4 linked regions of the Xenopus tropicalis genome follow. The protein of the gene in region 4 interacts with the protein of the main gene of each other region in a pairwise test. Links are inferred from orthologs where the notes say so. Each region holds a gene or a part of one and is shown on either strand. Other genes may lie near its edges.

What was found.
Region 1: the proteins of prkar2b (region 4) and prkaca interact in binary tests that used the Homo sapiens proteins (3 or more experiments, as listed by UniProt). The link is inferred for Xenopus tropicalis from reciprocal best matches to the Homo sapiens genes PRKAR2B and PRKACA.
Region 2: the proteins of prkar2b (region 4) and taf12 interact in binary tests that used the Homo sapiens proteins (3 or more experiments, as listed by UniProt). The two-hybrid records come from large-scale screens. The link is inferred for Xenopus tropicalis from reciprocal best matches to the Homo sapiens genes PRKAR2B and TAF12.
Region 3: the proteins of prkar2b (region 4) and kif5b interact in binary tests that used the Homo sapiens proteins (3 or more experiments, as listed by UniProt). The two-hybrid records come from large-scale screens. The link is inferred for Xenopus tropicalis from reciprocal best matches to the Homo sapiens genes PRKAR2B and KIF5B.

The regions. Positions count from the first base shown.
Region 1 is NC_030679.2:134,179,286-134,184,758, forward strand, and holds the end of prkaca (cAMP-dependent protein kinase catalytic subunit alpha), read right to left. Parts: intron 5,443-5,473; coding exon 5,316-5,442; intron 5,089-5,315; coding exon 4,993-5,088; intron 4,236-4,992; coding exon 4,113-4,235; intron 3,977-4,112; coding exon 3,812-3,976; intron 1,960-3,811; coding exon 1,834-1,959; 3' UTR 1,185-1,833; downstream 1-1,184.
Region 2 is NC_030678.2:78,440,073-78,444,106, reverse strand, and holds the end of taf12 (transcription initiation factor TFIID subunit 12), read left to right. Parts: exon of another isoform or gene 1-178; coding exon 179-293; exon of another isoform or gene 294-1,152; coding exon 1,153-1,241; exon of another isoform or gene 1,242-2,588; coding exon 2,589-2,624; 3' UTR 2,625-2,850; downstream 2,851-4,034. Other genes in the region: rab39a (ras-related protein Rab-39B), read right to left, coding at 3,024-3,429. UniProt on the Homo sapiens protein: The TFIID basal transcription factor complex plays a major role in the initiation of RNA polymerase II (Pol II)-dependent transcription.
Region 3 is NC_030682.2:22,995,793-23,000,776, forward strand, and holds part of kif5b (kinesin-1 heavy chain), read left to right. Parts: intron 1-3,814; coding exon 3,815-3,888; intron 3,889-3,972; coding exon 3,973-4,077; intron 4,078-4,984. UniProt on the Homo sapiens protein: Microtubule-dependent motor required for normal distribution of mitochondria and lysosomes. Can induce formation of neurite-like membrane protrusions in non-neuronal cells in a ZFYVE27-dependent manner.
Region 4 is NC_030679.2:76,690,932-76,696,694, forward strand, and holds the start of prkar2b (cAMP-dependent protein kinase type II-beta regulatory subunit), read right to left. Parts: upstream 3,774-5,763; 5' UTR 3,375-3,773; coding exon 3,107-3,374; intron 1-3,106. UniProt on the Homo sapiens protein: Regulatory subunit of the cAMP-dependent protein kinases involved in cAMP signaling in cells. Type II regulatory chains mediate membrane association by binding to anchoring proteins, including the MAP2 kinase.

The DNA.
Region 1 (5,473 bases), about 57 Mb from region 4:
TGGCCACAACGGCCGCCATGGGGTGCTGGGTGGAAGGCCGACAGGTGCCGGGCCCCGGCCAGATTCCATAGATTATAGAAGAACGTTACATGAAATAGTTTAGGGTAGCAGAAGCCAAATGTTGGCACTTCAGTTATTAAAGAGGTGCAACTATTGGCACCCCAATATGTCCCACAGCTGACAATCTACGCCGTAGGAGGCCCTCAGAATTAGCCCCTGTATAAAAGCAGAGCCTCAGGGATCCGTATACGCAGCGTCACCCCCTAACGAGCCCGTCTTTCATTGGCCTGCGCTGAGCGCCCCCCCCACACACACACAAGTGCTGTGCACGTTACATTATAATAGCATTCCATTCATATAAAAACTAAAGGAAGATCAAGAGACACGTGATGTAAAGAATTAGGGTTAGAAGGGCCACAGAGGATAGAGGCTGCTGTACTCTCCTCCTGTAGCCCGGCACATTCTACCCGCTGAGCAGTGATTGGCTGAATATCATCGCAGAAGCCACGGGGGGGGAATGGACACAAACGTCACCGTCCAATCTTTTATTAAAGGGAAACTATGCAAGGCTGCAGTTATAAATCAGGCGCTTTATTGGGTGCAGAAGCCACCAATTGCAATCGCTCATTCCTAATGTCTGCCCGAAGGAAAACCCTCTGCCTACCCACAATCCAACATGAACGCGTCACATGGTATAGGCAAATCCGTAAAGGCTATATGCACCCACATATATAAATATATAGAACTTTCTCAGGCCCCACCCATTTAGCTGCTCCTTCTGATCTGATGGAGAATAAGCATTTAACATGGAGGGAAACCATTCAGAAAGCACTTCAATGGCTTCAACTCCCCAACACCGAGACTAAGATGGCCGCTATCCGGTCACAGCACCAATACGGAATGTTGTGCCCATTAATTACGTCATGTGACAACGTCAGTCTCATTGGCTCTCGCTAACCATGTGACACCCGGATAGAACCTGCTCAGGTAAATGCGATTAATACTGAGGCGTAAAGGGAAAATTGTGCTGCGCTGCCTCTCCTTGTACCCCCCCCAGGAAGAATGTAAGGCGTAACGACGGCCAAGTCCAACCGGAAACGCCCCGAGAGTGGTTACGCTCAAGTGATGCAATTCATAGCAAGGACTGGATTTCTAGCTTTAGTATCAGAGCAGAGGGTCGGGAATTTTTTTTTTTTTTTTTCTTAAAAGTTATCAAGGACAAGAGAAAGACACCACGGATGCTGAAACATAGGGTTAAAGACAAAAAAAAAAAAAAATGGAGATTTTTTTTGGGTAAAACTGGCACATTGAATTTAAAAATCCTTCTACAATGGGTTATGGAGAAAGAGAAGGCTGATGGGGGGAGGAAGAGGTTCAGATTAAAACAGTTCGACGTTTATATACTATGTCAATTAATCAATAAAAACCAGTGGCCGGCTTGCTCAGATGAAAATGGTTAAAAAAAAGAAACCAGGCCCCGCCCCCTGAGGGCTGAGGCTCTGCCCCCAAGGTTCTGACTCTACCCCAGAGGAACCAGTCACATGTTTAAATAATTCTTGGCCCCTCAAATCTGTCAGAGAGAGAAACAAAAGTGTGGGGAAGTGGGGGAGAGAGAGACTTGGGGATCTCCAGGCCCAATCAGAACCAGCACCACCAGATCCAAGATAAAACAGGATGGCCGCCATGTCTGATCTGCACCACTAATTAAAAGCTTGGAAGGAGGGTAGTGTGAAAGGGAAGAGGTGGTTGTGTGCCTGTCAGTGGTGCTCGCGCCAACGCTCTCTCTTGCTTGGGGGGAGTGTTTGGTGACTGCTCCGCCTTTCCCGGTGCAAATTAGAAGTCAGAGAATTCCTTAGCGCACTTCTCTGTGATTGAAACTCGGATCTCTTCTTCTTCATAGTCATCAAAATTACTTGTGTCTCCGGGACCCTTACATTTAGGGATGAAGGGAGCTTCCACCTGGGGGGGGGGGGGGGGGGGAAAAAGAAAAATTAGGGAATTTTATACAGGAAGTGAGGGAGTCTGGGTAAACACCATTCCTCATCTCTAAGCTTGGGCAACAGAAGGGGTGGGAGAAAGAGTAGCACCTAAAGCACCAACGTTCACGGTGGCACCCTGGCACCCCCCCCCAACTATCTGGCATTTCCCTACAGCCGTGCCGCGGGCACAGGAACTGAGAGCTGGAAACAACACCGCACATTCTGATTGGCTCTGTGATAATAAAGACATTCGTCTGGTAAAGGGCTTACTATGCTGCATTACGCATCGCTTAGGGATAATAGCAAAGCATTACGGACACAGCTCAATGGATACTTCTCAGCTAATCCTTAAAGTGATACACACACTAAAAAAAAAAAAATACTTTTCAAATTATTAATGTACATTGTTATCTGTAGGTTGTGTTGGTCATTTTTTTGCTGATAGGACTGCTTATGTATGTAATGTGTGTGATGTAAAAGCATCAGGCAAATACATTAAGGCAAAATTATAAATAGTATGCAAAGGCAGTGTTACGACTAGCGATGCACCGAATCCCGGATTCAGTTTGGGATTCGGGCCAATCCAGCCTATTTTCAAAGTATTCGGCTTCGGCCAAACCAAAAAACGTCTTCGGGGGGTTTGGTGCATCCCTAGTTATGACAATTGTAAAAAGGGTTTCATTTCTGTGTTAGTATCTCTTTAAGTGTCTCTATAATTAGCCGTTATTTTGTCCTGCTGATGACAGAACAGGCTGACACCTATCCTGCTCTCCCCGCCTCCCATTGGTAATTTAATATGACATCACAACCAGCACACCTACCCCTCCAACACCTGCTTATTAGGCACAAGTGTTTGTAACAAGGCTATTGTTGAAGCAAGACCTGAAATACATAATGCATCATGCAGAGTTCCTGTCACATGACTTCCTGAAACTGGTGTATTATAATAATGTACCCCCTGTTAGAAAATAACATAAGTCACCTGGGAGTTCCATGACCTGTATATAAGCACTCAGCCTTCATGCTTTTATATGATCATGGAGCTCTCTCGGTGATAATATCCTTATATTTTACAATAGGGGGTACACTATATATTTTCCCTTTAACTATTAAAAAAGGACTTTACTTGAAGTGATATTGACCCGAAAAAACTACTTTTTGAAATATGAATCTACATAAAAATTTACCTATAGGTCATGTTGATCATTTTTTGCTGATAGGGCTGCTTCTATAAGTAATTGTTACTTGTTGTTCCTAAACCTGACTGTTTTGCCAACCTGACTGTCCCTCTCAACCTGTCAGTTACAGCTTCTAATGCTAACCGACTCCTGCTGCACCAATATGGCCGCCCCCTCATAGAGGAACGTGGGGGATCAAGTGGGGAATGTAAAAGCATCAGAGAAATACTTTTATAGCAAAATTATAAATAGCATGCAAAGGCAGTGTTATGATAGATGTAAAAAACGTTTCATTTCTGGTGTCAGTATCACTTTAAGATTAGGAGACTCAAGCAGAGGCAGAAATAGATTTGGTGTTTGCAAGAAGAGGGTCATGGTTCCTCCCTAGACACCAAACTGCTGTTAATAAAATACTTTCCCATTTCAGGAATGTCCAATCAGGGTTCCCCTTCCGCTGCTCAGTCAGAACTCCCAGAATACCCTCACAGTTTGGCTGTCGGTGGATGCTGGTAGTTGCCGATTGGACATTCCTGAGTACAAGTACATCCCTACCCAACAAGCCTACCAAAACCAGACAGTAAAGGTCTCTCCTTCCACTGAGCTTCCCCGGCAGCAATACCATAATCCCGTGTCCATCCCATTCCCCCCGGGCACCTTTTTCTGGTAGACTGCAATCCAGTCCGTGGTACTGAACCATTTGTGTCCCTTGATGTCTGTCACACCATTCTTCAAATTCCCAAATCGCTTAGTCAGATCGACTTGCAAAAGGTTTCTGAGGAGATCCTTCAAGTCGGAGCTAAAGTGAGAGGGGAACCGGACCTGCGGGGATAACAGCGAAAGAAAAGAACGTGAGAAAGAAATGAATTTGAGCCTATGGGGGGTGGAAGAGGATGAAAAGAAAAGATCAAAGAACATGGCTGCTCCGAGCAAGATATAGGAACAAGCTGGGACTCACCTTCCCCGATACTATTTTTTCATAGATCTGAATGGGCTGATCAGCGAAAAAGGGAGGATACCCCGCAGCCATCTCATAAATCAGGACTCCTAGGGCCCACCAATCCACTGCCTTATTATAACCCTGAAAGACATAACAAAAACAGTCATATAAGCTCCGAGAGATATAAGGCATCTTTACACCATAATGTGTCTGTGTTACAAGACTTTCTGTTATAGGGTTGGCCAGTGCTGCAGAGATGGCCAAGAATTCCTAGGCAGCTTCTAAGCCCTCCAGTCTCTGAAATATGGGGGAATGTGGACTTCCTGGAAAGACCAGCTTATTGTTATATGGAGTTAGGCTAATGTCCCCTAATTTGTCTGACTCTCATAAGCCAGGGCTTTGTTCATTTGGGCACTAAATAACTGCTAAAACCCCATCTATGTAATACAAGTCCTAATGTAAAAGTGCAGAATACTTTGAAGGCAAGCAATTTAGCTGTGGGTTCTATCACCGAATCTGCACCATGACTGTAGTGTTGGGTATGAGGCTGATAAACCAATGTCTTTAATATGGAAGGCCCTAAATACGCCAGGGCCTGGGATGTCATTCATTTTTTCCCATACATTTCTGTGACCAGGAGTATAAGGAGCTGGCATGGAAGCAAAAGATGCCAGTGTCAGATGTAGCGGGCATTGTGGGAGAAAACCAAGAAAATCCTCTCAGGCCTTCTAACCTGCCGAGTAAATCAGTCTCAGCCCTACTGCCCCACTGCCCAGGGCACGCTGCCATAACAGCTGGATCTCCACTATCAGACTCAGTTTGAGCTACATAAAGGAATGTAGGGGGGAGCTCCGAGCATAAAGCCAAGAAAATACCCTACAGGGAGGGTCATACTCACCTTGCTAAGGATTATTTCTGGCGCCAGGTACTCTGGTGTCCCACACAGGGTCCAGGTCCTCCCTTTCACTCTCTTTGCAAAGCCAAAATCCGTCACCTGGAAAACAGCATATAAGTGTGATTCCATATCTGGCTTCCCAAGTCGTACCATGCCCCCAGTTCATTACTGAAGGTTATTATAAATGGGTTTAGCAAGAGCAGTGGGTACATGCCCTGGGCCCTCATAATGGCAAAAGTACCAAACATATACAGTTATAGGTTTATTGTATACACACTGGGGACCTGTAAGAAAGCTGCCATCTGCTGGCACAAGGGGTGTATTACCTGGATGTATCCCTGCTGGTCTATGAGGAGATTCTCGGGTTTCAAGTCTCTGTATATAAGATCCAGGGCGTGCAGATATTCAAAAGTTAATACAATCTGGGATGCATAGAAGCGTGCATGAGGTTCACTGTGGGGACAGGAGAAACAAAACGTTAGGC
Region 2 (4,034 bases), on a different chromosome or scaffold from region 4:
TTCTCAAGTCCTGGAGTGCCTGCCATCTTCTAAATTTTGGATTTCCTTATGGCCCCCTCAAGCTGAAGGTCTGGGGCGTGAGCACCCAGGCCCATCTATACCATCGGTGAGCATTCAACCAATATTTGACTTTAAGAGCATAGTTTCCATTTGTGTTTATCTTGCTCTGTCCACATAGATGCTTCTACAGATCGCAGATGATTTCATTGAGAGTGTGGTATCTGCAGCCTGCCAGCTTGCCCGACACCGCAAATCCAACACTTTAGAAGTTAAGGATGTACAGCTTCATCTTGGTATGTTAACCATAACCATATGATGCCAACTTTGTATTTTGTTTAATTCTGCTGTCCCACTTGGATAAGATACACATGAGCAGCTTTTTCTCAATATGTATAAAAACCCTGTCATGAGCTAAGATGAATCTGTGCAAAAGTGGGATTAAATCAATATAAAAGTCAGCAAAAACACATCACACATCACACTTTCCTAAATAAATATTAGTGAAGATTTTCTGTGTATTAGTGTGCATGCACTGGCACAAGGGATCCTTGGGAAAAGCAGTCAAGATTTTTATTGTCTATAATTTTCATGAATAAATATATGTGGGGGGGGGGGGTTGTCACTTCAAAATCTGAACCCACTGCCTTTACCCTTTATTTTTTCTAGCAGGAGTCCATTATTCAGAGGGGTTGTATGTGTACTAGTAATTCAATTATCTACCTCAAAAGACTAAACATGGAGTAGTTTAAATTTCCCTGTTTGCCCTGTTTAACAAAAAACATTGATCTTTCATGATTAAAACATTAGGCGAAAAGTATGTTCATTGCAAGCTCTATTTATTATGCTCTTGTTGAATGGGAGTATACTGGCCCTTTAATAATAACATTAATAATGTTTTTATCTAAATTACAATGTCACCTGCTGGTGCAGCTTAAGAATTACACCACTTATAAATCAGATTCAGAGTACAAAAAAAAGTACAGTGTTATGATTGTTTTTTCTTTCCTTATTTTTTTCTCCCTCCTCCCTTATTATGATAATGTTAAATAGAGAGAGCCTTCCTTCTTGATTATTAAGTATATGACACGGGCATCAGATGTAAAACCAAGCATACAAGTCTGAGATGTTGAATTTCTGCTCCTATTTACACAGAGAGACAGTGGAACATGTGGATTCCAGGCTTTGGTTCAGAAGAAATTCGGCCCTATAAAAAGGCTTGTACTACTGAAGCACATAAACAGGTAATGTGGCTGTCCATTTTCAAATAGTGTGCTTTTTTCATTTGATCCTTTTGTGACTTTTATCCAGTCCAAAGTATAAACCTATAATTTGGCATAAGATGTATGGCCCTTCAGAGGACATATGGTTAGTGCTTGGATCCATGCCTTTGAGGGTGCTATCAATTCCAGTGGCAGCGTAAGCATGTGTGTCTGGAGCTTCAGTTGGAGTAGCATATGAGAACTGAATGTATAGTTAAACACTTGCAGTATAGTTTTAGGGTTATCAAGATCTAAATTAAATCGCCAGTAGACGTATTGGATTTGAGCGCCTAGGAAATAAAATATACATTTGGTAGGCCAAATCCTCTCACATTAGTTGAAAAGGTTGGTAAATACAGTGCCATACTCTGTGCCTTATTTCTCCAAATAAATTATAACTTATTTGTTTAATCATCTTACACCCCAAACATTAGATCCAATACACCCAAACAATTTGTTGGGGTGTATTCGATCTGAGATACCTTACACTGAAGGGTTGGCTAGAACTTTGGCTTGGATGTTTGCATTAAGAGTAAGAAATATGAATCCATATTACTTTTTGCCAGGTTTAAGGATAATGGTGGTCATGGCTTTAGAACATGAAGGGTGGCTAGAATCTTGGATACATTTTAAGTGAGTTAGAGAGAAACATGCTCTGATAGGGAACAAGTAAGAAAATCATATCCATCCATTATGGTAGAAGGTCAGTGTTGGCTTTGACTGGCAGTCTTGTTTAAGAATTGATGTGGAGAAATGACATGTAAAGGCTTATGTAACAGAAAATGGTGTACCCAAGGGTTATAATGGTGTACCCAAGCCTTTGTGGGGGTTTTTTAATTTATTTATTTATTAATTTTTTGTTGCTACCTTTGTTTTAATTTGCACAATGTTGCATTTTTACTTGCAAAGAACAAAAAAAGGCCAATCTGGGGGATGCAAAATTTTAAGTTGACTTCCCGATGACCACAGCCTGCTTACCTTGAATTCCAGGACAGTGTCCCTCTTCCTTTAAAAACATGGTGTTATGGTGCTGATATTTTTTAGAGGTGCAGTGGCTTCATCTCAGCTGCTCTTTCACGTGTTCAGCATTTGCCTGCCGTTGCCCAGGTTCGGCACATACACATTGCAACTAGCCATTGGTGCCATATTGAACACCTGGGAGAGCAGGCAAGGTGGGGCTGGCATACCTCTAAAGAACAATATCAGTGTCAGCATTTTCATTTTAATTTAACTTTAATTAAACTAGTTTTTTTTTTTTTTTTCAAATCAAATTGTTTTGTCTGTTTATGTTTACCTGCCTACTTACCATCCCCTCTGTTTTTCTAACAGAGAATGGCTTTAATTAAGAAAACACAAAAGAAATAAAATCCATTTGTGACTTTGGACTTCTGCAATCCCTTGCCATTCTGATCTTGACACCTTCAAACTGCCACAGATGACAGATGAGCGTGAAGGCAACCTCTTCAGAGAAGAGTCTAACTTTGGGGACAGAAAGTTTACAACCCTCTTGCTGGGAAAGGGTTAATTGGTCCCCTGACTACCTTTTGTATATACATAGGATTGTTTGTTTAATTAAACATGGCTGATGTAATTACTATTTCTACTGATTCTGTTTGTCCATTCATGGAAACAGTCCAGGTAAAAGTGAAGAGTGTTAAAGTGCTGATGGCATCAGTTCTGTCAAACTCCGGCAGTGAGATTAATACCAAAACTGCCATTAACAGGCACAATCACTCTCTGTTTTTTTTTTTTTTGGTTTTTTTTTCAACATGTGCATTTTGCTTCTTGGTTTTTCTGCATTTCTTTGTTTGTACAATAGGCCCCACTACTGTCATCTGTTGATACCTGGGCCTGCGAACGAGCAGCTCTAAGCAGTTCCCTGCACAAAAGTGAAAGTGCAGCAGACACATTGCTCCCTGTTCGGGCAGAGGTCTCTAAATAAGGAGCACTAAGATTTTCTGCTAGTCTCTGGGCCTCCTCCCGGGTTACCATTCGCTTCTCCTTCAGGTCATTCTTTGCTCCAAGCAGCATGAACACCATTGGTTTGGCTTGAGTCCGCTCAGTTACCTCCATATGCCATTCAGTGACATTATCAAAAGATTGCCGTGTGGTAAGATCAAAGAGAAGGAGAACCCCGGCAGCATTTCTGTAGTAGGAACGTGTCACAGCTCTGAAGACACAAAGAAAAAGAATGAACTGAAAGCTACTTGGCATACAGGAAGAGAGAAATCCATACAACACAGTCCATCTTAACAGTCAATAAAAAAAATGCAAGCATTGTATTCCAATTAATGACAATTTCAAAAATATTAATATTTTGAGGCCCTCTCCTTTCTCTGAAAAATGACAAAAGCTGAAATGCAGAAAGAAATAAGCAATTGTACTTTCAAATGCTAAAGTGCCCATCATCTTCTTTTCCCATTACGCCTCCTGACCATTAGCCTTTGTTTCTTCAGCAATAAAGAGGCATCTCAGAAGATAACGGGGCAGATCATCTCCAAAACACATATTCTTTTATAATAGTACACCACAAATACCAAATTTTATCAATTGCTTTTATGGAGCACTATCAGAAAGTAATGCAACTATTTGTTGCTTTGTTACAGACAGAAAAGGAATCAAGGTGAATGCCTAGTAGTGGCTAAAGCTGTTGCTGAGAAGTGAATGAATTCATATATTAAGTTTTAATACTTAGAGTGTAGGATTCCTGTCTTTGCTACCAGACTACATAAGCGGGTAGGGGAGTTAACTTACATTTTAAAAAAAAATTGTCAT
Region 3 (4,984 bases), on a different chromosome or scaffold from region 4:
CTTGACTTGTGTTTATACGCAGACTGACAATCTGCCTCATGTGACACTAGCCTTAAGGTACCGTAGTTTCTAACTAATATTTCTGTGATTGTATAATTATACCTTTATATATGTAACTTTTGTTATAGATTTTCCTTTTTAGTCTAATAAAAAGCATTAAGCCAAATAATGTCATTCTTCTTGCTAGCAGGAGGGCCGCTGACCCTTCTGTCTATTGATTGCAGCAGGAGAAATGAGTAAGCACCAGTATAGAGCACTGGAAAACTAACTGCTCTATTGCAAGTACACACATTCCCGTTGCCTCCCATTCTGATTAGTAGACAGGAAAGCTGCTGGACCTGTTCATGCCCCTGGTTTTCATTATTTGCCTTTTGTTTTCTGCCTCTTTCCACCTTTCAAATGGGGTCACTGACCCCAACAGCCAAAAACTATTGCTCTGTAAGGCTACAATGGTATTATTATTGTTACTTTTTATTACTTATCTTTCCATGCAAGCCCTCTACTATTCATATTCCCATCTCTCATTTAAACCATTGCCTGATTGCTAGGGTAAATAAGACCCTAGTAACCAGATAGCTGCTAAAATACCAAATGGAGGGTTGCTGAACAAAAAGCTCAATAACCAAAAAAAACCCATAAAAAATGAAGACCAATTGCAAATTGTCTGAGAATATCAATGTCATCATATTAAAAGTTAATTGAAAGGCGAACTACCCTTTTAAATACAAATTAGCATTGGCCTTGTACAGTGGTATGAATATGCTGCAGTTTGATGTTCTGTCTCCGTACCATCTGAGTTAGGGAAAGGTGCAAAGCCATTGTATTGTACACAAAAACATAAGATTTAAGCCATGTGGTAGCTAGTTGTTTACACCTGTCTATACCAGCATGATGATTTCCCTTTAAGGGTAAAGACACGCGGAGCTACTAGTAACAGCTACTTGTCACGGCTACTAAACACCAGAAAATACCCTGCCATAGAGAATACTGAAAATTGCCTCTTCTTAAAACAGAGACCATTTGCCAGCAAATGATCAGCATTGTCTATTTTAGTAGCCACGGCAAGTAGCTGCTACTAGTAGCTCCATGTGTCTTCACCCTAAGGGAGCTCCTGTTAGTTGAAAACTGCACCGGCCTGGGGTAACTGATCGAGCGATCCTCTTCTATGTATGACTTGCATATGCACATTAGAGTGAAACTTAAACATGCTTTAAGCAGAATTCTTCTTACAAAGGATATAGTCAAAAGTGTTTAACCCACAGTGGGCTAACTGCAACTTTTTTTTCAAGTTAATTTGTATTGCTTATTTTTGGTTTTTGGGGGTGCAAAAGGAACTGAGTTTGTGTGCACAAGAACATAAGCATTTGATTCCCATTCTCCATACTAGAGACAAGAAGTAGTCAGCACAACAATTCGGAAATGTTTTCAGCACTGCACGTTTACCACGTTGGTGTTCAATAGGAAATTAAACTTGAAAAGCATTGCAGTTATTAATCCATAAAAATGTGTTTATTGCACACATAGGGCATTACAGCAATGTTCCTAGCCAATTCAGGCCTTTTATCAAGCCATTCTCCATATTATTATATAGTTATTTGTCAAATTGAAACCTAGGGTGCTGCTTGTGTAACTGATCTTTTCTATTGAAAGGAGCTGTATCAGTTCAGTGGTTTGTTGCAGTATGGGTATGATTATTTGTTAAATCTTGGTAATGTGCTTCCTTAGCAAGAGCTATACAAGCTTAGCAAAATGCTACTCCTCCAGTGCCACTCCCTAGCCCTGCTGTCACTCCCTGGAGGCTTCTAGGGCTTACTCTGCAATCCCATTGCGCACAACATGATGTAATGCTCCTGGTTATTTTGACTGCCTAATCTCCCATAGTTGGGTTTGTTGTTTAAAGGAGAACTAAAGATTAACAAAGAAGTAGGCTAAAAATGCAGCACATCATGTTTTGAAGTGCTGTGCCAGCCCAAGGAAACCTATATTATATAATTAATATAAATGTCATTATACAAAGCAGAGTAATTAATTCAGATTTTCAATACGTGGCAGCTCAGAAACCAGTGCATACAAATTAAATGACAAGCCCTGTAGCATCAGTTTATATGACAGGCCAGCCTAATTTTCTGCTTGATTTGAGAGATGCTGAAATGTTAGGCTGGTGCAGTTCAGTATTTGAAATATGGCATATCTGGTAGTTAGTCCTCCTTTAAGAGTTACAACCCATTTGTTGTAATTGTCTATTTAAAAATGCAACTGGGTAAAATAGACGGCGCAAAATAAAAAATATTTCTAATATAGTTAGGCAAAAAATGTAATCTATAAAGGCTGGACAGACCAAATGTCTAACATAATAGCCAGAACTGTACTTCCTGCTCTCTAACCTCTTAGTTAGTCAGTGACTTTAGGGGGTGCCACATGGGACATAACTGTTCAGTTAGTTTGTGAGCCCGTAGGTCAGATTCAAATGCAAACAAACTGAACAGTAATGTCCCATATGGCCCCCCTCAAGGCACTGATTGGTTACTGACAGCTTAGGGAGCTGTAAAGCAGGAAATAAAGTATGTTTGACATCTGCCCACTCCAGCATTTATATATTAAAATATTTTTGATTTTGCACAGTCTATTTTACCCAGTTTTATTTTTACACTGAACTGTTTCTTTAAAGAGAATCTGTACAAAATGTAATTTCCCCACACAGAGATAGATACAGCGTCACTGTACATTTTGTTTAGCTGGGCAAAGCGGTTTGCCACAAAATCATATCTGCCATGTGCTGTGGGCCAAAACGTGTATCATGGTGCAGAAGTTAATGGAAACATATCGCATACATGAAAATGAATATGGCCCAATCTCTTGGAAATAAACTTTCAAAATCCATTACCAATTCTTTACCTTTTCTGAAATCTAGTTACTTTTTTTAGTGTCTCTCTACATGCTGTAGTGTGAATAAGGGTATTGAGTATTTTATAAAAGTTCTGTTTTAGAAAAGAATTGATTATTCTTATAACTAAAGTATAATATTACTTCTTCTATAGCCCACCACAGTATTATGCTCTCCTGATGCTATTCCTGCGCCAGTCTTTTGTAAAATCACTTCCTACCTTTAGGCTGGTCCCAACAGGAGCATCCTGCACTCAAAACTATACTATACTCTGTTACTTGATCATTTTAACACACAGTTTATTTCACAACACAGAGGATCAGGGTAACACTTTCTTGATGTAACAGCCGACACATACGTCTTTTTCTCCCCCCCCTTTTTTTTTCTTTCTTTCCTTAATTCCTTTATTCATTTATACTCCCGGGTCCCCTCCCCTTCCCCTGTTTGATTTACAAAGGTTAGAAGCAAATTAATACTACTGTGGGCTCTGGGAGGCTCATGTGGCGCGACTCCTTCCGTCCAGACACACAAGCTTCCAACAGTATATACCCGCAGGCAATGTAAGATCTATGCATACATATGTCTGTTATTATAGATATATAAACCTGTATACATCCTGTAACTATGATTGCGTATTTCTATATTACTTGAATTGCTTTGCACAAATACGTTCAATAAACTCAAAAAATGAAACAATTTGGCCCATGTACTCAAGTATCTATTATTGAAATGGCAATGCCCCCTGAAGTAGTATGTCATGAAATAGTTAAAATGTGTGCCTTTTAATTTTGTCAGATGTTTAAAAATTGATGGGGAGGGGTAACTTGATACTTGGAAGTAATGTGCCCTGAAATAAAGTTGGTAATGTTGAATGGTGATTATTTATGTATACTTTATTCATTATTCATCCTTCCATTTGTATTTTGCTAGATGTTCTGGATGGATATAATGGCACAATATTTGCTTATGGGCAGACATCATCAGGAAAAACCCATACCATGGAGGTAAGACCCAGTCATTCACTGCTGGTAGTATTCATTGATAAAACTGTACTGATTTTATTCTGAACGTCTCTTAATTTTTTTCAGGGAAAACTCCATGACCCAGATGGAATGGGGATTATTCCCAGGATAGTGCAAGATATTTTTAATTATATTTACTCTATGGATGAAAATTTGGAATTTCATATAAAGGTAATACTGTCTGTATCAGCTGTAGTAGTGTGTTAAAGGAGACATATCCTATTAAAATTAAGAATGTACCAGGGAATTGTACTCCTCTAGATATAGAAGGATTGTGCTAAAAATGTTGTGTTTCGGACTGATTTATTGAGAAATTCCCCCCAAACCCCACTAGCCCCGCCCATCCGTTTCACTTCCTGCTGGCTGAATTCTCTGGATGTGCTGGGGAGCCGGCGGCCCTCCGTACACTGCCCTGTAGGATAGGAACCAATCAGCAGCTAGGCTGACCTGATAGGGAACTGAAGCCTGTCTGTGCTTGTGTGACTGCAGGGCTGTGATTGGCTCTCCCCCTCCTACTGTGCTTCTGGCAGGGACCGTTAGGACACGCCCACCCCTCATTTTAAACTCTGACAGAGAAGTGATAGGATCTACAGGGAGCTCCAATAAAGGGGCCATTTTTACAGATAGGATTAATTTTTTAGCACAAAGTGAAACCAGCACCATATATTATTCATAATTGCCTACAAAATTAGGGTTTTCCCATTTATCTCCTTTAATGTCTCCCATAATGCTTTGCCAGTTGGCTTAATGACTACATCACTGGGGAAGTCATGCAGAACCTATGGGTGTTATTTTTTATGACTGTAAACTGCTCAAATTGGTTGTAAATCTACCTGAACTCATGGCTAGCAGCCAGACAATCAGAACCACATCACCAGCATGGGGCAGCAGCAAATGATATTTTCAAACTGGACAGATCATCTGTAATATGACAGGACCGACCCCCCAACCTGACCATTGTGCCCAAACTGTTTTGGTCATGGAACTCCATGGTGACCTGTTTATCAATCTAGGGGGCATTACACATTATAGTGTGTATATTAAACTGTATAATCTAATTTAGTGTTAGTAACTGCAC
Region 4 (5,763 bases):
AGAAAAGACAATTACTATAGTGATAATAACTTATATATAGCTCCTTATGCAGCTGTATGACAAATGTACATCAATTTCTACGTTGTTAAATAAAGTCTTTATAAAGATGCACCTAATCCATTTTTGAGACACAACAGGCAACAACTCCAATATTTATTAAGGTCCTATACAGTACAACAAGCATCGCTAAACTTAGGCAAAGTTTGGTTACCAGTAGTAAATGTAAGCCTACTTTAGATCTTTTTTTTCTGTTCATTTACTTGTATGCAGTACATTTAGGGGCACATTTACTAATCCACGAACGTCCGAAAAGCGTCCGAATGCATTTTTTTCGTAATGATCGGTATTTTGCGATTTTTTCATAAATTGTTGCGACTTTTTCGTAGCCATTACGACTTTTTGTAAATTGCCACAACTTTTTCGTAGCCATTACGACTTGCGCGAATTGTCACGACTTTTTTGTAGCCGTCGCGCCGAGTACGAAAGTTTCAGATTCATTCAAGCTTCAGTATCGTGACTTTCCTTGGGCCAGGTTGGAGCTGCAGAGTGCCATTGAGTCCTATGGAAGGCTTCCAAAATCATCGTTTACGAGCGCTCAATTTGAAAAAGTCGCGACAATATACGAGCAAGTTGTAACGGCTACGAAAAAGTTGCGACAATTCACGCAAGTCGTAACGGCTACGGAAAAGTCGTGACGGCGACAAAAAAATAGCAAAAAATACGAAAAAGTCGCAAAATGTTCCTTTCCAATCAGGTTTTTTCCCATTCGGGATTCGGATTCGTGGATTAGTAAATCAGCCCCTTGGTATGCGCCTCTGTCTTTCTCTTCTCTTCACTAGTCTTTCTTCCTGTTCCCCACATACCTTTTCTTTTTCCCCCCAACTTTTAACATTCTCACTTGTGCCTTCTTGCCCAGACACATTTTCTCCACTGTACAATAATTTGCACTGTTCTTACCCATTTTAATGATCTTCACTTTTCCCCATTCCTCTTTTCTAGCTACCCCATCTTTCACACTTTTTATCTTTTAATGCTTCATATTTCGTGTAGGCCCTCCTCACTGGTCACTGTTACAGAAACCCTTACATTTTTCTTTTCCGTAGGCAACATATTTTATTTTTCCTTCCTTTGGTGTATATCTTCAGCTCTCTTGTCCCTTGTGCTAAGTGGGTGATGTACAGATTCTCTTGAAAGCAGAAGCACTTCAAGTCCCAGAATCCATCACTTCACAATAGAAAAAGGTTGTATAAAAATGTGAGCCTATGGGGGGAAGAAATGGTTCAGTTGAATATAGGTTGGCTATAAAGGTTTTCTTTCAATATGTAGAATCAGGTAAGTGTTTAAAATGCATCCTTATTTAGATAGTGTTTATGCTCCTTTTTAACATAAGCCCAACTGAATGAGTTCATATTAAAATGATGGGGGTATATGGTCCCTTTTCAGGTATAAATGGCTTACAAATTTTTAAATCACAGCCGCATAAACTTACATTTAACACTAAATTTCATATGCCATTTACTTACCCAGATTGCCCATATCATGCACAAGGATGCCATATCCTGAATACAATTAATTGGCCTACATAGTTTTGTGCCATCTGCAAACTGCATATTTGTTGTTGTTGTTTTTTAATTAATAAACAAAATCATTTTACACTTTATTTAGAGTAATAAAGTTTTGATAGTTACATGGACCAAGCTATTTCTTAGAACTTAGCAAGTGTCCTATTGACGCCCAAGGAAAGACTATTTGGTCCTGCACTCACAATTTCTTCTGCACACCAACCCTGCCACTGTCTGGGCTCTCCCTCACCCATCAACCACTCCTATCTCACCTAGTCACACCTCTTAACTATGCCAGAGGCACATAACTCTTCTGCCTACTCCTATTTCTAGCCCTGCTACCCTGCATTATAAAAACTCTCCTATGGGCCTCCATTCTAGAACTACTTGACATACCAAGGCCCTCTCCCCATATCTCTTAAAGAGCCAATTCCATCTTATTCCTCTTATAGTAATTGGCAATCAGGTAAATGCACAAGGACTGATGTTTGTCAGACTACTGTGGTAAGAAAAGGCACACTAGCTGTTTTTTAGGTGGAAACTGGCTGACAAGGATCCCAAAGTACCCTTGTCCTAACACGCAAGATGAATGTGTCTCTTTCATTTTCTTAATTTTTTGGGACTCTTAGTAGAAATTGAAACAATTACCTGGGTCTTCACAGACAAATAAATCCTATGATTGAAAGGCAGCAGAATAAAATACATTCCTTTAAGGTAATGACATGTATTGGTCCTCCTCTGGTAGAAAAGCACAAGCCTGCCTGTACTGCCCTTTTCTCCTGATATTCCCTTCAATTACACCCACCTGACCCACGGGGCAGACTTCAGCCTCAGCATCTGATGCCCACCTGTGTGCGCAGCGACAGGTAAATGTGATTGTAGGAAACAGCAAAAAAGGTAATACCTTATGAAGTCACTGGCATTTATCTGCCATGTCTGTCTTTAGCCTTAAGCAACTACAAATATTTGCTGTAACTTTAAAAATATCATATTTTGTTCTAATTCTCAGAGCAGTTGACATAGATTTCAGTTTTTAATAATGCTGTGTCTTAGGACAATAGAGGGGAGAGTAGAGACATCAATAGGTGAAGGACAGCTATAGTAATACTACAATAACAAGAGCACTATTTAATATTCTCATGATGTTGCCTGGATGGGCAAAGAATGTATATACTGTGGATCTCATATAAATGTCGCTGATCAAGCAAAAGGTTAGGTGTTTGTTATAGTACCATAAAATAATATCTAACCATGAGGCATCTTATCTTTATAAATATGACTGAGAAAATATAGGTTTTGTTTCTGTAATTTATACACAGTATGGTGTGGCCTTAGTTCTGTCCCCTAAAACGTAAACATATAATAACAATACGGTGTGAGTGAGTTTTGTGGGGAAACCACCACCACGAGAATTCCCTTACAGCTGGCAATTTTAGTTCAGTCACAGCTTGAGAGAAAAGGGTGGAAAAACCTATGCCCTGCATATGGAAGGCAGGGACAAAAGGACGGACACCTGAACTGCAGGGTTCCTCATTAGCACATACCCACAAAATCCTCTTCATCGTCATCCTCCTCCTCCTCGCCGTTTTCAGAGTCAGTCTGCATGGGCTCCTCGGCGAAAATGACCCCTTTAGTGAGCCTGAAAGGTAATTCCATGCCATGGCTGAGGGGGCCGCCCTGACTCTTAGACTGCTTGAGCTGGGTGAAGTACTGCAAGGCGAATTCCAGCAGGTCCTCGGGCTGTTTTCGTAACACCTCCACGGTAAAGCTCTGCAGTAGCTCCGTCAGCCCCTCCGGGATTTCTATACTCATTCCTGGGGTAGCGGGGCAGGAAGCTGGATTTGGTGCACAGCAGCAGTATGTCACTGGGAGATCTCTATTGGCTGCCAGTAGGCACAGGGAGCTGGCTACTATGGGGTACCATGCTACTCATAGAGCATAATGCAGGGGTACCGACATGAGAATAAAAGGCGCTGCTCATCCGTATGAACTGGCATTATTAACATTCAAGCAGGTGATGGGGTTTAAGTGACAGGAAAGTTAGGCGAGCCCACATGACACGCTAAAGAGGGGGGGGCAATTAGGCAGTGATCATAGGGCAGCAGGGTGTACGAGGTCCAGCGGCCTGAGGCACCGGGTCCCTGCCCGACAATACAAACATGCAAGTGGGCACTGGTTTAAAAGATTTCTTTTTAATTACAGCGATGATGATGAATCCCTCTTCCACGCTGTGGCTCTGGCTCTCCCCAGGCTCTCACTTGTGGCGACACCGCAGTCGGCGGCAATAAGGGTATGAGAGGCACGCTTAGGCTGCGCTGCGAACCCTTATCGTTTCCGGGGAAGATGGTGAAGCTGTTGTGTTGTCCTTGTCACTTCTCCCGGATTAACAGGCCCCCAAGCTCACACAAGGCGCAGACCAAATACAACTGAGCATACAAAGTGCTGCATCCTCCGCCTCCCGCCCGCAGCCGCCTGTCAATCAAATGGGAGCCAGCAGCGTGCATGTGACCACCGGAAACCATGGCAACCCTCCATCTCAAGCATTGCGTGTGGAGCAGGTGCGGATACAGACTGGCGGGGATGCTGCGCAGAAAACGACCAATGTGGCCGAAGGGGACTCCGATTTCAGCAAAGAATGAAAGTGGGTTAAGGGCTCAGAGATGGCAGACTATCAGCAGCAGTCTGTTTTATTTATACTACACTATAAGGCTCTAATTGTCTTCACTAGAAAGGCCCTCGCTTTCCTTTGATTTTTCCTACTGGTATCCCCATTTTCTTACAACGAATATGTTGTCTCTGTATGACCAGCTTTTAATTATTTATAAATATATATATATATTTGCTTGAAAATCTATTTTTGTACTGTCCTGGAAAGTATATCTTTATTAGCCTCAATCTAGCCAGTACTACTAGCCAGTAGTTTGTAAAGCAGCCAATATATTAAGTTAAATCCACACATAAAAATACACATTTTCCAACTATACAATAAAAATCTGCATATTTTAGATCACATTTTCAGGATTTCCTTGGCTTTTTTAGGAATACTGTCATGGGAAACAGGTGTTTTCTTCACCAGAAAAACCCTGCATTTAAATCCATTTTTTTATAAACTCAGGTTTTTTTAAATTTCATTTTGAAATTTCACATGGGGCTAGCCATATTCTTCATTTCCCAGGGTTCCACAACCATGTGACCTGTGCTCTGAAAAACTTTAGTCACACTTTACTGCTGAGCTGCAATTGGAGTGATATGACCCCCCCCCCTCCCAGCAGCCAATCAGTAGAAGGTAGCAAGACAGAAGCTCCCACTAGATATCAGAATAGCACTCAGTAGTAGGAAATCCAAGTGCATCTTGGGACTCCTCCAGTTACAGTTCTAATGTGTAGCCCTGTCTTCTTCTGAAAGCTCAGACTCAGGCACAGTGCACTGAGATTGCTGCCTACACACCAATATTAAAACAAAAAAATACATTTGTTGGTTCAAGAATAACATTTTAAATGGTAGAGTGAATTATTTGCTATGTAAATAATGTAATCTGGAAATAAAAAGTATACCATAAAAATCATGACAGTATCCCTGTAACATTAATTCTCTAAAGCCGCATTTTCCCTAAATAATCTTTTAAAGGAAAAACTGCTTAACTGTTGAGTATAATGTAAAAAATGATCACCATATGGACAAATATTGTCAAGAATAGATGGTAGTACTTACCAAACCATCAGTTCTATACAGTAAAGATTATTATTCATTAGCTGGAGCAATAGTTCTATTTGTTTATCAAGTGCAGGTTTGCAGTGATAGCTGCACAATCTCTCTGGCTGGTGTTTGCCAGTAGGTGGATTATGGCATTAGGTACTGAAATGAATGCCCTCATCATAGCCATGATAGCTATTGCCTGGCCTAACCATCACAACAAAAGGGTGAACAGCCAGAAGGCCGTACAAATGTTTTACTGACAAATGAAAAATCATTCTGTTGGTCTCAGGCACAAAGAAGCTATTGCAACTGATTTACCAGATGTGCTACATTTCCTCAGTGCAGTTACTTATAGCAACCAAACAGATCTTTGCTATTATTTTCTAACTTTTAATTGACTAAAAAGCTAATTGCTGTATGTTGGTATAGGCCACTGCACTTGTCTGATTTAACACCTAAGTTTCTTGTGTTTACCTCTCTATTAACTTCAGGCTAGCTTCAAGCA